Linked DNA regions of Saccharomyces cerevisiae S288C. Each later gene encodes a partner of the first gene's protein in a complex. Each region holds a gene or a part of one and is shown in the gene's direction. Other genes may lie near its edges. The genes, in order: POL1 and CDC13.

The links.
Region 2: the proteins of POL1 (region 1) and CDC13 are in contact, whole or in part, in a crystal structure (PDB 3OIQ), measured with the Saccharomyces cerevisiae proteins. Residues at the interface, in NP_014297.3 of Saccharomyces cerevisiae: Val230 (codon at 2,486), Asp232 (codon at 2,492), Leu233 (codon at 2,495), Leu234 (codon at 2,498), Asp236 (codon at 2,504), Val237 (codon at 2,507), Glu238 (codon at 2,510), Ser240 (codon at 2,516), Pro241 (codon at 2,519), Val242 (codon at 2,522), Val243 (codon at 2,525), Ala244 (codon at 2,528), Thr245 (codon at 2,531); in NP_010061.1 of Saccharomyces cerevisiae: Lys30 (codon at 2,017), Ile32 (codon at 2,023), Leu52 (codon at 2,083), Leu71 (codon at 2,140), Lys73 (codon at 2,146), Lys75 (codon at 2,152), Leu131 (codon at 2,320), Val133 (codon at 2,326), Ser134 (codon at 2,329), Lys135 (codon at 2,332), His136 (codon at 2,335), Gly137 (codon at 2,338), Asn138 (codon at 2,341), Tyr139 (codon at 2,344), Thr140 (codon at 2,347), Phe142 (codon at 2,353).

What each region holds. Positions count from the first base shown.
Region 1 is NC_001146.8:428,289-435,023, forward strand, and holds POL1 (DNA-directed DNA polymerase alpha catalytic subunit POL1), read left to right. Parts: upstream 1-1,798; coding exon 1,799-6,205; downstream 6,206-6,735. Other genes in the region: MET4 (Met4p), read left to right, coding at 1-1,465; AVT4 (Avt4p), read left to right, coding at 6,711-6,735. UniProt on the Saccharomyces cerevisiae protein: Catalytic component of DNA polymerase alpha, which in complex with DNA primase (DNA polymerase alpha:primase) constitutes a replicative polymerase. POL1 has a role in promoting telomere replication during interaction with CDC13.
Region 2 is NC_001136.10:61,661-66,947, reverse strand, and holds CDC13 (telomere-binding protein CDC13), read left to right. Parts: upstream 1-1,929; coding exon 1,930-4,704; downstream 4,705-5,287. Other genes in the region: YDL218W (uncharacterized protein), read right to left, coding at 1-455; DTD1 (D-tyrosyl-tRNA(Tyr) deacylase), read right to left, coding at 1,183-1,570, 1,642-1,706; FMP45 (Fmp45p), read left to right, coding at 5,147-5,287. UniProt on the Saccharomyces cerevisiae protein: Single-stranded telomeric DNA-binding protein that regulates telomere replication. Has a role in both positive and negative regulation. Promotes [TG(1-3)] strand lengthening via interaction with EST1.

The sequences.
Region 1 (6,735 bases):
TGAGGACCCTTCTACCAATAATAGACAAAGAAATCCTCACTTCTTGACTCAAAGAAGGAATACTTTCCTAACTTCCCAATACGACCAATCAAAGTCTCGATTTTCGTCCAAAAACAAAAGAAATGGCAATAACGGCGAAACAAACAACTTTGGCGACAATATGCAAAATAACCATCCTTTTGAGCCAAACTTTATGGGAAGCCCTTCTCAGTTTCCCGCTGACGCAACTAATATGACATCAATCGACCATGGCGGCTTCACAAATGTTGACATTACATCAACTGAGAACAATACTACCGGTGACAATGGAGTGGATGCGCTATCAAATCTACTACATAGGACAACACACACACCGAACCGCTCCTCCCCCCTAAGCAATGTCACTTCTGCTCAAAATTCCTCTTCACAACAACGAAAACATTCGGAAAGCAAAGTCGATAGTAACAGCGATAATAACAGCTCCAACAAAGCCCCCAATATAACTGTTCCTGACTATTCAATTATACCAACCTCTGTTTTAGTAACTCTATTACCGAGGGTCAACGTGCCCAACGGCGCATATAACTCGTTGATCAGCGCGGGATTTGACAATGATCAAATAGATGCTATAGCCGCAATAATGGCGTATCATCATCAAAAAAAGATTAGGGAAAATAACAGTAATAATAATAAAAACATCAACACCAATGACAGTCAAGAGGCACCCATTCTAAAAAACATCAACGAACTTTTAAGTGTCTTAATACCACCCTCTCCGGCTGAAACTGCTGCGCCAACTACCTTATCAACGTCGCCTTCGTTCAATGAGCACGGTGTAGTAGCAGAGGCTTCTTTTCTAAGCTCCATTTTGGAACTGGGCATAAAGCATCCAAAAAGTAATAATATTCACAATCAACGACAACCTTCACGAAACGATCATAAAATATCAAGAGAGAGTGACGGTAACAATGGAAACGATAATGTCCATCATAATAACGCTGTTATTAAGTCAAGTACGACGCGTGGAGACGAAATTGCCAAGATACGATCCGAGCCAACTTTAAATGCAAGTTCTTCTGATCACAAGGAAAATAGTTTAAAAAGATCACACTCCGGAGATTTGAAAAATAAAAAAGTACCCGTCGACCGCAAGTATTCTGATAATGAAGACGATGAATATGACGATGCAGATTTACACGGCTTTGAAAAGAAGCAACTGATCAAGAAAGAGTTAGGGGACGACGATGAAGATTTATTGATACAGTCGAAAAAATCTCATCAAAAAAAAAAACTAAAGGAAAAGGAGTTAGAATCATCGATACATGAACTGACCGAAATTGCAGCATCCTTACAAAAACGGATACATACGTTAGAAACGGAAAACAAGCTTTTAAAGAATTTAGTTCTGAGTAGCGGTGAAACGGAAGGAATAAAAAAAGCTGAAAGCTTAAAGAAGCAAATTTTTGAGAAGGTTCAGAAAGAATAAAATAACAGACTATACAGTTTAATTATATATATATATATATATACGTGCATTTTTCTTAAAGAAATATAACTTTTTTCTTGTACTGCCTGCAATCTCTATTCTTCATTCATCACACATCTATTCAAACGCGTTAAAATTTTTTTGTTAGCCTATAAGTAAAACGCGTCGCGTGTATCCAATTTTACTGAATTAAATTCTTTACTCATTGGATGATATATATCTTCTTGGTCTAGACAACGAACACATACCAATTCAGACTCACGAGAAAAAAAACTGTCTTCACTCTGCTATTAGAAACCAAATAGTATCAAGGCATAAAATAAACAGTGGAAAATGTCTTCTAAAAGTGAAAAATTAGAAAAATTGAGAAAGCTGCAAGCCGCTCGAAATGGTACATCCATCGATGATTACGAAGGTGACGAATCAGATGGTGACAGAATATACGACGAAATCGACGAAAAAGAATACAGGGCCAGAAAGCGCCAGGAATTGCTGCATGACGATTTTGTTGTAGATGACGATGGTGTAGGCTACGTCGATCGTGGTGTCGAAGAAGATTGGAGGGAAGTTGATAACAGTTCAAGTGATGAAGACACTGGAAACCTTGCTAGCAAGGATTCTAAAAGGAAGAAGAATATAAAAAGGGAGAAAGACCACCAGATTACAGATATGCTGCGAACTCAACATTCCAAATCAACACTGCTAGCACATGCAAAAAAATCCCAAAAAAAAAGTATCCCCATCGATAATTTTGATGACATTCTTGGTGAGTTTGAATCTGGTGAAGTAGAAAAACCCAATATTTTACTGCCATCCAAATTAAGGGAAAATTTAAATTCTTCGCCGACTAGTGAATTTAAATCGTCAATAAAGAGAGTTAACGGAAACGATGAGTCAAGTCATGATGCCGGTATTTCTAAAAAAGTCAAGATTGATCCAGATTCAAGTACTGATAAATATTTAGAAATCGAATCATCACCGTTAAAATTACAAAGCAGGAAACTGCGCTACGCAAATGATGTACAGGATTTATTGGATGATGTGGAAAATTCCCCAGTAGTAGCCACAAAGAGACAGAATGTACTTCAAGATACGTTACTAGCAAATCCACCATCCGCTCAAAGTTTGGCTGATGAAGAAGATGATGAAGATAGTGATGAAGATATTATTCTGAAAAGAAGAACTATGAGAAGTGTGACAACAACTAGACGCGTGAATATAGACTCAAGAAGTAACCCTTCAACTTCACCGTTTGTCACAGCACCCGGAACGCCAATCGGTATTAAAGGACTAACTCCAAGTAAATCTTTGCAGAGCAACACCGATGTTGCTACACTTGCGGTTAATGTCAAAAAGGAAGATGTGGTAGATCCGGAAACTGATACTTTCCAAATGTTTTGGTTGGATTACTGTGAAGTGAACAACACTTTGATTTTATTTGGTAAGGTTAAACTAAAGGATGATAATTGTGTGTCAGCCATGGTTCAAATCAACGGTCTCTGTAGAGAGCTATTTTTCCTTCCAAGAGAGGGTAAAACACCTACCGATATACACGAGGAAATAATTCCGTTACTGATGGATAAATATGGACTGGATAATATCCGCGCTAAACCTCAAAAAATGAAATATTCGTTTGAGCTTCCTGACATTCCATCTGAAAGTGATTATTTGAAAGTCTTACTTCCATACCAAACACCGAAGTCCAGTCGAGACACCATTCCATCGGATTTATCTAGCGATACCTTTTATCATGTTTTTGGTGGGAATTCCAATATTTTTGAAAGTTTTGTTATTCAAAATAGGATTATGGGACCATGCTGGTTAGATATAAAGGGAGCAGATTTCAATTCAATTCGTAATGCTTCTCACTGTGCGGTTGAAGTTTCGGTAGATAAGCCTCAGAATATCACGCCTACTACAACAAAGACAATGCCTAATCTGAGATGTCTATCTTTATCGATTCAGACGTTAATGAATCCCAAGGAAAATAAGCAAGAGATTGTTTCGATAACGTTATCAGCATATAGAAATATCTCGTTGGATTCACCGATACCTGAAAATATAAAACCAGACGACTTGTGTACTTTAGTAAGGCCGCCTCAGTCAACTAGTTTCCCATTAGGTTTAGCTGCACTGGCAAAACAGAAACTACCCGGTAGAGTCAGGTTGTTCAACAACGAAAAGGCCATGCTATCTTGTTTTTGTGCTATGTTAAAAGTGGAAGACCCAGATGTTATCATAGGCCATCGTTTGCAAAATGTCTACTTAGATGTTTTAGCTCATAGAATGCATGATCTCAACATTCCAACGTTCAGCTCTATTGGCCGTCGTTTAAGAAGGACTTGGCCTGAAAAATTCGGTAGAGGAAATTCGAATATGAACCATTTTTTTATTAGTGACATTTGCTCTGGTAGGCTGATATGTGATATCGCCAATGAAATGGGTCAATCATTAACACCCAAATGTCAAAGTTGGGATCTTTCAGAGATGTATCAAGTTACATGTGAAAAGGAGCATAAGCCGTTAGATATTGATTATCAAAATCCACAATACCAAAATGATGTAAATAGTATGACAATGGCCCTACAAGAGAATATTACTAATTGTATGATTTCTGCTGAGGTGTCTTATAGAATTCAATTATTAACCTTGACTAAACAGTTGACAAATTTGGCTGGTAATGCATGGGCCCAAACGCTAGGCGGTACAAGAGCTGGTAGAAATGAGTATATCTTACTACATGAATTTTCAAGAAATGGTTTTATTGTTCCTGACAAAGAAGGCAATAGAAGTAGAGCTCAGAAACAAAGACAAAATGAAGAAAATGCTGATGCACCAGTTAATTCTAAAAAGGCAAAATATCAGGGTGGTTTAGTTTTTGAACCTGAGAAAGGTCTTCATAAGAATTACGTTTTAGTCATGGACTTTAATTCTTTGTATCCATCTATTATCCAGGAATTTAATATATGTTTTACCACCGTTGATAGAAATAAGGAAGATATCGATGAGTTACCAAGCGTACCTCCTTCAGAGGTGGATCAGGGTGTTTTACCAAGGTTATTAGCTAATCTGGTGGATCGTCGACGTGAAGTTAAGAAGGTGATGAAAACTGAAACTGATCCCCATAAGCGAGTTCAATGTGATATTCGTCAACAAGCTCTAAAATTGACTGCCAATTCTATGTATGGTTGTTTGGGTTATGTTAACAGTAGATTTTACGCAAAGCCGCTCGCCATGTTAGTCACTAATAAGGGTCGTGAGATTTTAATGAATACAAGACAACTAGCTGAAAGTATGAATCTTCTTGTAGTTTATGGTGATACAGATTCGGTCATGATAGATACCGGTTGTGATAATTATGCGGATGCAATTAAAATTGGCTTGGGATTTAAAAGGCTAGTAAATGAGCGCTATAGATTATTGGAGATTGATATTGATAATGTTTTTAAGAAGTTACTATTACATGCCAAGAAAAAGTACGCTGCTTTGACTGTAAATTTGGACAAAAATGGTAATGGAACTACTGTTCTAGAAGTTAAAGGGTTGGACATGAAGCGTCGTGAATTTTGTCCACTTTCGAGGGACGTTTCTATACATGTTTTAAACACCATCCTGTCAGATAAGGACCCAGAAGAAGCATTGCAAGAAGTGTATGATTACTTAGAAGACATCAGAATAAAAGTGGAAACCAATAACATTAGAATTGATAAATATAAGATCAATATGAAGCTTTCAAAAGATCCCAAGGCCTACCCAGGTGGTAAAAACATGCCTGCAGTCCAAGTAGCTCTAAGAATGCGTAAGGCTGGTAGAGTTGTTAAAGCTGGCTCTGTCATCACTTTTGTGATCACAAAGCAGGATGAAATAGACAATGCAGCGGATACGCCGGCTCTTTCTGTGGCTGAACGTGCCCATGCATTGAATGAGGTAATGATTAAAAGTAACAATTTGATACCTGATCCACAATATTATCTCGAGAAACAAATATTCGCGCCGGTAGAAAGGTTGTTAGAAAGAATTGATAGCTTCAACGTGGTGCGTTTGAGTGAAGCGCTTGGTTTAGATAGTAAAAAGTATTTTAGAAGAGAGGGCGGTAATAACAATGGAGAAGATATTAATAATTTGCAACCCTTAGAAACAACAATTACAGACGTTGAAAGGTTTAAGGATACTGTAACATTAGAATTAAGTTGCCCATCATGCGATAAAAGGTTTCCATTTGGTGGTATTGTATCTTCAAATTACTATCGCGTGTCATATAATGGTTTACAGTGCAAGCATTGTGAGCAACTTTTTACTCCTCTTCAATTAACTAGCCAAATAGAGCATTCTATAAGGGCACACATTTCCTTATATTACGCAGGGTGGTTACAGTGTGATGACAGCACATGCGGTATAGTTACAAGACAAGTCTCCGTTTTTGGTAAGCGTTGTTTGAATGACGGCTGCACGGGTGTCATGAGATACAAATACAGTGACAAGCAATTGTACAATCAACTTTTATATTTCGATTCTTTATTCGATTGTGAAAAAAATAAAAAGCAAGAATTGAAGCCAATATATCTACCCGATGATCTCGACTACCCCAAGGAACAGCTGACAGAATCATCTATTAAGGCTTTAACAGAACAAAACAGAGAACTAATGGAAACCGGCCGGAGCGTTGTTCAAAAATATTTGAACGATTGTGGACGTCGCTACGTTGATATGACTAGCATATTTGATTTCATGCTAAATTAGGTAAGTATTTTGTATGTGTTGTGTGATCTCATGAATATTCTATATAGTAAGAAAAGAATACAACTGTACATACGCATCCTACTAGATACCTAATGTACAGACATCGGAAGGAGCGCTAGGAAGCTTTTATTATTGAAGGTTTTCAGCGATATTCTGAGAATGTTTTTTCGGCTCTGGTGATCAGTTCTCACATGCATCATCCTTTAATAAACCCATGCATTAAGATTCGCCTTATCAGCAAGATCAGATAAGCGAACAGCTTCATCAATGAAATAGAATGCTTAAATCTTGTGAAGCACTGTCATAAGCCAGTTTGATAAAAGCAATACCCACAATATAGTTGGATATCATTTACCTTGATCTGCTCTTGCTTTCGAGGTGACATAGCATTTTTAGCCATCTGATTCCTTAGGTTCAAAGGCACTCATCATTCCTCCTCTAAAACACATTTCAACGTCATTCATAATCTGGAATCAACATAACAATATCCTAGAACACATCATCAATGGTCACTAACAATGGAGATGGTG
Region 2 (5,287 bases), on another chromosome or scaffold:
AGTAATATCACACTGATCAAAAACAGTACAAAGCAAAGGCCAGAAAAGGCGATTGCCGCCTGAGAAGAATTACATGCTCTTCTATGACTGTCAGCAGTATATTGGCCACTGTACGGATTATAGTATAATCCGTCTGCATTAGTGTTGCTACAGCTACGTTCACCTTGAGCTTTGGCAAGAACAACGAAAGCTGCTAGCCATAGCATACAAACGATCAATTCGGCACAGAAGTACATTCCTATGTAGATCAATGTGGGTAGGGCCAGACACAAAATACCTAAGGCAATCAGATAAAACACACTAATGACACCTGTTGCCAATGTGAAGTTGGTTTTCTTATTACCTCTATTTCCATAGGCGTGGATGGCATACGCCAAAAGTGACATCACCAAAACCGATGATGCAAATTGAGAAAATCTCAAAAGTGTTAAGAAAACTCCAGTAACTCGTTTCATAACGTTGATATAATATATCTATTTGGTTTATGTTCCTCAATTGAAAAAAAAAACCGTAAACTTTCGTACTGAGAACATCAAAGCATAATGGTAACGGACGCTTTGTTGAACCTTTTTATACGTTGTCTTTTAGGGAATGTTAACCAACCATCGTCATCCCTTAAGATACGGTTTCAATATCCCTTGGAAACCAAATATACGTTAAAGTCATCAACGAGTATGCTTACTGGTTTATTAGTAACACAAACCTCAAAATCTCCTTAACTATCGTCAATTTAAGGGTATATATCCCCTTTCTCATTGTGCGTTTCTTTTTCCATGCCAGGTCAATACTCTCCTATGACTGGAAATACACTGTAAACATGCTTTTAGCCCTCTGGATTAGTAAGACTGGCAGGGCATCGCTTCGCCGTCCCTTTTTTCACTTTTACATTTTTTTTTTTTCATTTTCGCCCTTAAAGTTTTTTAAAGTTGATTTACTTACTTTTATGTAAAGAATATAAAACAATTCTAGACTTTCTTGGCGAAGGTTATTGAAGGAAGCGTGAATTCAAAAATCCATCACAGATATTTTGTATTCATTTTTTTGGGGAGGGCTCCTCTCCGCTCTACTCAACTTCACTGAGAACATAACATGGAAAGATTTTGGTACTTTATCTTGCGAAAGAAAGATTGCAAATAATGTTTGCTTTTTATTTTCTTCTCGTATATATCTATAAGGTCAATCTTATTGGTCACTGTCAAGAATGATTGTAACGGGCCCTTCATTAGTTAAAGAGCAACTCATCATTGCGCCGAATTCACCATCCTTTACTTTTTCCTCACCCAAATCACTTCTTAGTAATTTTAAGAATTCTTCATAAAGTTCTTTAGCTATATGACCCTTTTGGGCCAAATGGAAATCGGGTTTAGTTCCCTTCTTGGTTTTTGCCATCAAAGTGAATTGAGACACGGATAGAATTTCACCATTGGCCTCTTTAATATTCTTCTTCCATAGATTTCTGGATTCATCTTCGAAGATTCTCAAACTAAGAACCTTTTTCGATAATTTATCTATCTCCGCCATAGAATCATCAATGGAAATACCTACTAGGAGCATATAACCATGTTTAATACTGTCACATAGATAGAGGTGTTAGTAAAAAAAATTGGTGCACTAACGAAGCTGAAAAAACCGGTAACATACCTTGAAATAACTTTTGAATCGACGACTACAGATGCTTGGCTGACTTTTTGTAAGACAATCTTCATTGTAAATCCGCTGCTGAATAATATGTGGATTATTTAATATGTACATGCAGCCTTGATTAACGTGATTATACTTTTTAAACCTTTGATATCCAAATTTTTCAACGTCATAAGAGACGCGAAGGCCTAGTGAGATGCGAAATGCTAATTCAAAATGGAAATTTAAGAATATATTCATATATGTTTCTCTTTGGATACGAATGACCGTGGAAACTATCGCCTAAAAATGGATACCTTAGAAGAGCCTGAGTGTCCTCCACATAAAAATCGTATTTTTGTGAGCTCGAGTAAAGATTTTGAAGGCTATCCCAGCAAAGCAATAGTTCCCGTGCAATTCGTGGCGCTTTTAACCTCAATACACCTGACTGAAACAAAATGTTTGCTAGGCTTTTCTAATTTTGAGAGGCGAGGAGATCAATCCCAAGAAGATCAATATTTAATCAAACTGAAGTTCAAAGATAGGGGCTCGGAGAGGTTAGCCCGGATCACTATTTCCTTACTTTGCCAATACTTTGATATTGAACTGCCAGATTTAGATTCTGACTCAGGCGCATCCCCAACAGTAATACTGAGAGATATTCACCTTGAAAGGTTATGTTTTTCAAGTTGTAAAGCTTTATATGTATCAAAACACGGGAACTATACTCTATTCTTAGAGGACATAAAACCGTTGGATTTGGTAAGTGTGATAAGCACCATATCTACAAAATCGACAAATAGCAGCAAGCATTCGTCATCAGAACTTATTTCAGAATGTGATTTGAACAACTCACTTGTGGATATCTTCAACAATTTAATAGAAATGAATAGAGACGAGAAAAACAGGTTTAAATTTGTAAAGTTGATTCACTACGATATAGAACTAAAAAAGTTCGTTCAAGACCAACAAAAGGTATTATCGCAGAAATCAAAAGCCGCAGCAATTAATCCTTTCTTTGTGCCAAATAGACTAGGGATACCTTACATTGAATCCCAAAACGAATTCAACTCGCAGCTTATGACGCTTAATGTAGATGAACCGACCACAGATATAAGCAACATGGGAGAGGAAATGCATGACAGCGCAGATCCCATTGAGGATTCAGATTCCTCAACTACCTCCTCTACCGGGAAATATTTCAGCTCAAAATCCTACATCCAGTCACAGACACCTGAAAGGAAAACAAGCGTACCAAATAATTGGCACGATGATGATTCCGGAAGCAAGAGGAAGAGAAAGCTTTCTTTCCACAGTCCGAACGCGTCCTCAATCCGCAAAGCCATCAGTTATGAGCAACTTTCCCTAGCTAGTGTAGGCTCAGTTGAAAGGTTAGAGGGCAAAATTGTTGGCATGAATCCACCTCAATTCGCCAGTATAAATGAGTTCAAATATTGCACATTGAAATTATATTTTACGCAGCTCTTACCAAATGTCCCAGACAAGGTCCTGGTGCCAGGCGTCAATTGCATTGAGATCGTTATCCCGACGAGAGAGCGAATCTGTGAGCTCTTCGGTGTTTTAAACTGTCAAAGCGACAAGATATCGGATATTTTACTACTGGAAAAGCCTGATCGAATTTCCGTCGAAGTTGAAAGGATCCTGTGGGACAATGACAAGACCGCCAGCCCAGGTATGGCAGTATGGAGTTTGAAGAACATTAGCACCGACACGCAGGCGCAGGCGCAGGTGCAGGTGCCTGCGCAATCGTCGGCGTCAATCGATCCGTCTCGCACAAGGATGAGCAAAATGGCAAGGAAAGACCCCACCATCGAATTCTGTCAGTTGGGACTCGACACTTTTGAGACCAAATACATAACAATGTTTGGCATGCTAGTCTCCTGCTCGTTTGATAAACCTGCCTTTATATCTTTTGTCTTTAGCGATTTTACCAAGAACGATATCGTCCAAAACTATCTTTACGACAGATATCTAATAGATTACGAGAACAAGTTAGAGCTGAACGAGGGCTTCAAAGCCATCATGTACAAAAACCAATTCGAAACGTTTGACTCTAAGCTCAGAAAAATATTCAACAACGGGCTAAGAGATCTACAGAACGGCCGCGATGAAAACCTTTCGCAATACGGCATAGTTTGTAAGATGAATATAAAAGTGAAAATGTACAACGGCAAATTGAATGCCATTGTGCGCGAATGTGAGCCGGTCCCGCATTCCCAAATAAGCAGCATCGCCTCGCCTTCACAGTGCGAACATTTAAGATTGTTCTACCAACGAGCGTTCAAGAGAATTGGCGAATCCGCAATTTCACGCTATTTCGAAGAGTACCGGAGGTTTTTCCCCATACATAGAAACGGTTCTCATCTCGCGAAACTGAGGTTCGATGAAGTAAAGCATGAACCAAAAAAATCACCCACTACACCAGCTCTCGCAGAACACATACCCGACCTGAATGCAGACGTGTCCTCCTTCGATGTAAAGTTCACAGATATATCTTCTCTCTTGGACTCCTCGGCTCGCCTCCCGCGCCCACAGCAAACACACAAGAGCAACACATTATACAGTTGCGAGGGCCGTATCATCGCCATCGAGTACCACGCATCTGATCTCTGCTTCCATATCACGAATGAGCTCCCACTTTTACAAACCCGCGGCTTGGCCCCGGAGCGAGTGTTGCAACTACACATCATTACCTCCAAGAACTTTGCTTATTTTTTCAACCGCTCAAGCGCCTACTTACAGCGTCAGCCTCTTGAGGAAAAATATACGCAATTGGCACAATTTCTCGGCCATTCATTTAAATTCAATATAACCTCCTCGCTCACGCTGTTCCCTGACACTACCGTGGCACTCCAGATCTGGTGCCCAATTGAATGCACCTTTCGGGAATTGCAACAACAGCTGGCCCATCCGAAGGTTGCAGCGGCTCCTGATTCAGGGAGTCTTGATTGCGCAATTAATGCTACCGTCAATCCTCTGCGACTTCTTGCCGCGCAAAATGGCGTCACCGTGAAAAAGGAGGAGGATAATGACGATGACGCCGGAGCCGTTCCCACCTCGTAAGACATGATCCGCGCAGCCCAACGCGGCGGTGCCAAATTGCAGTGACGTCTCGGAGTAATATAAAAAAAAAAGACCAAATAACCAAATTTAAGGGTGCTCTGAATATAAGGGAGTGGAACGTTTTCACACGAAGGAAAAGGGAAAGAGGGGAGTGGTAAGAAGCAAGAGTCAATGAAAGGTCTTCCTTCCTTCTTGATGCTAAAACAAGGATAGTCTGGAATGGGGAGGAGCATTCGGCGCAGATGCCGACATATAAAAGGATGGTTGCTTTGCAACAGTTACTTGATCTTGCTTTGTTCTCTTGATTAGTTATCCGTTAGATGCAAACTTTAAGTACAGTAATTTTGAAGTGAATTAAAAAGAAAGAGGTATTTACGTTTAACGCTTATACTTTCCTTTTTATCCAAGTAACAAGTAACACTAATCACTATAATCTACCGCTATGATTTTCAAAAGGTTCGTTAATTTGCTTGTGTTTTTATTCCTACTCGGTGCTGGCTTATTGACGTTTTTTCTTATTCTGTCAGGAGGCAGAGAATCTGGAACGCTGAAAAATTTTTATTGGTTACAGGCTGATACAAAC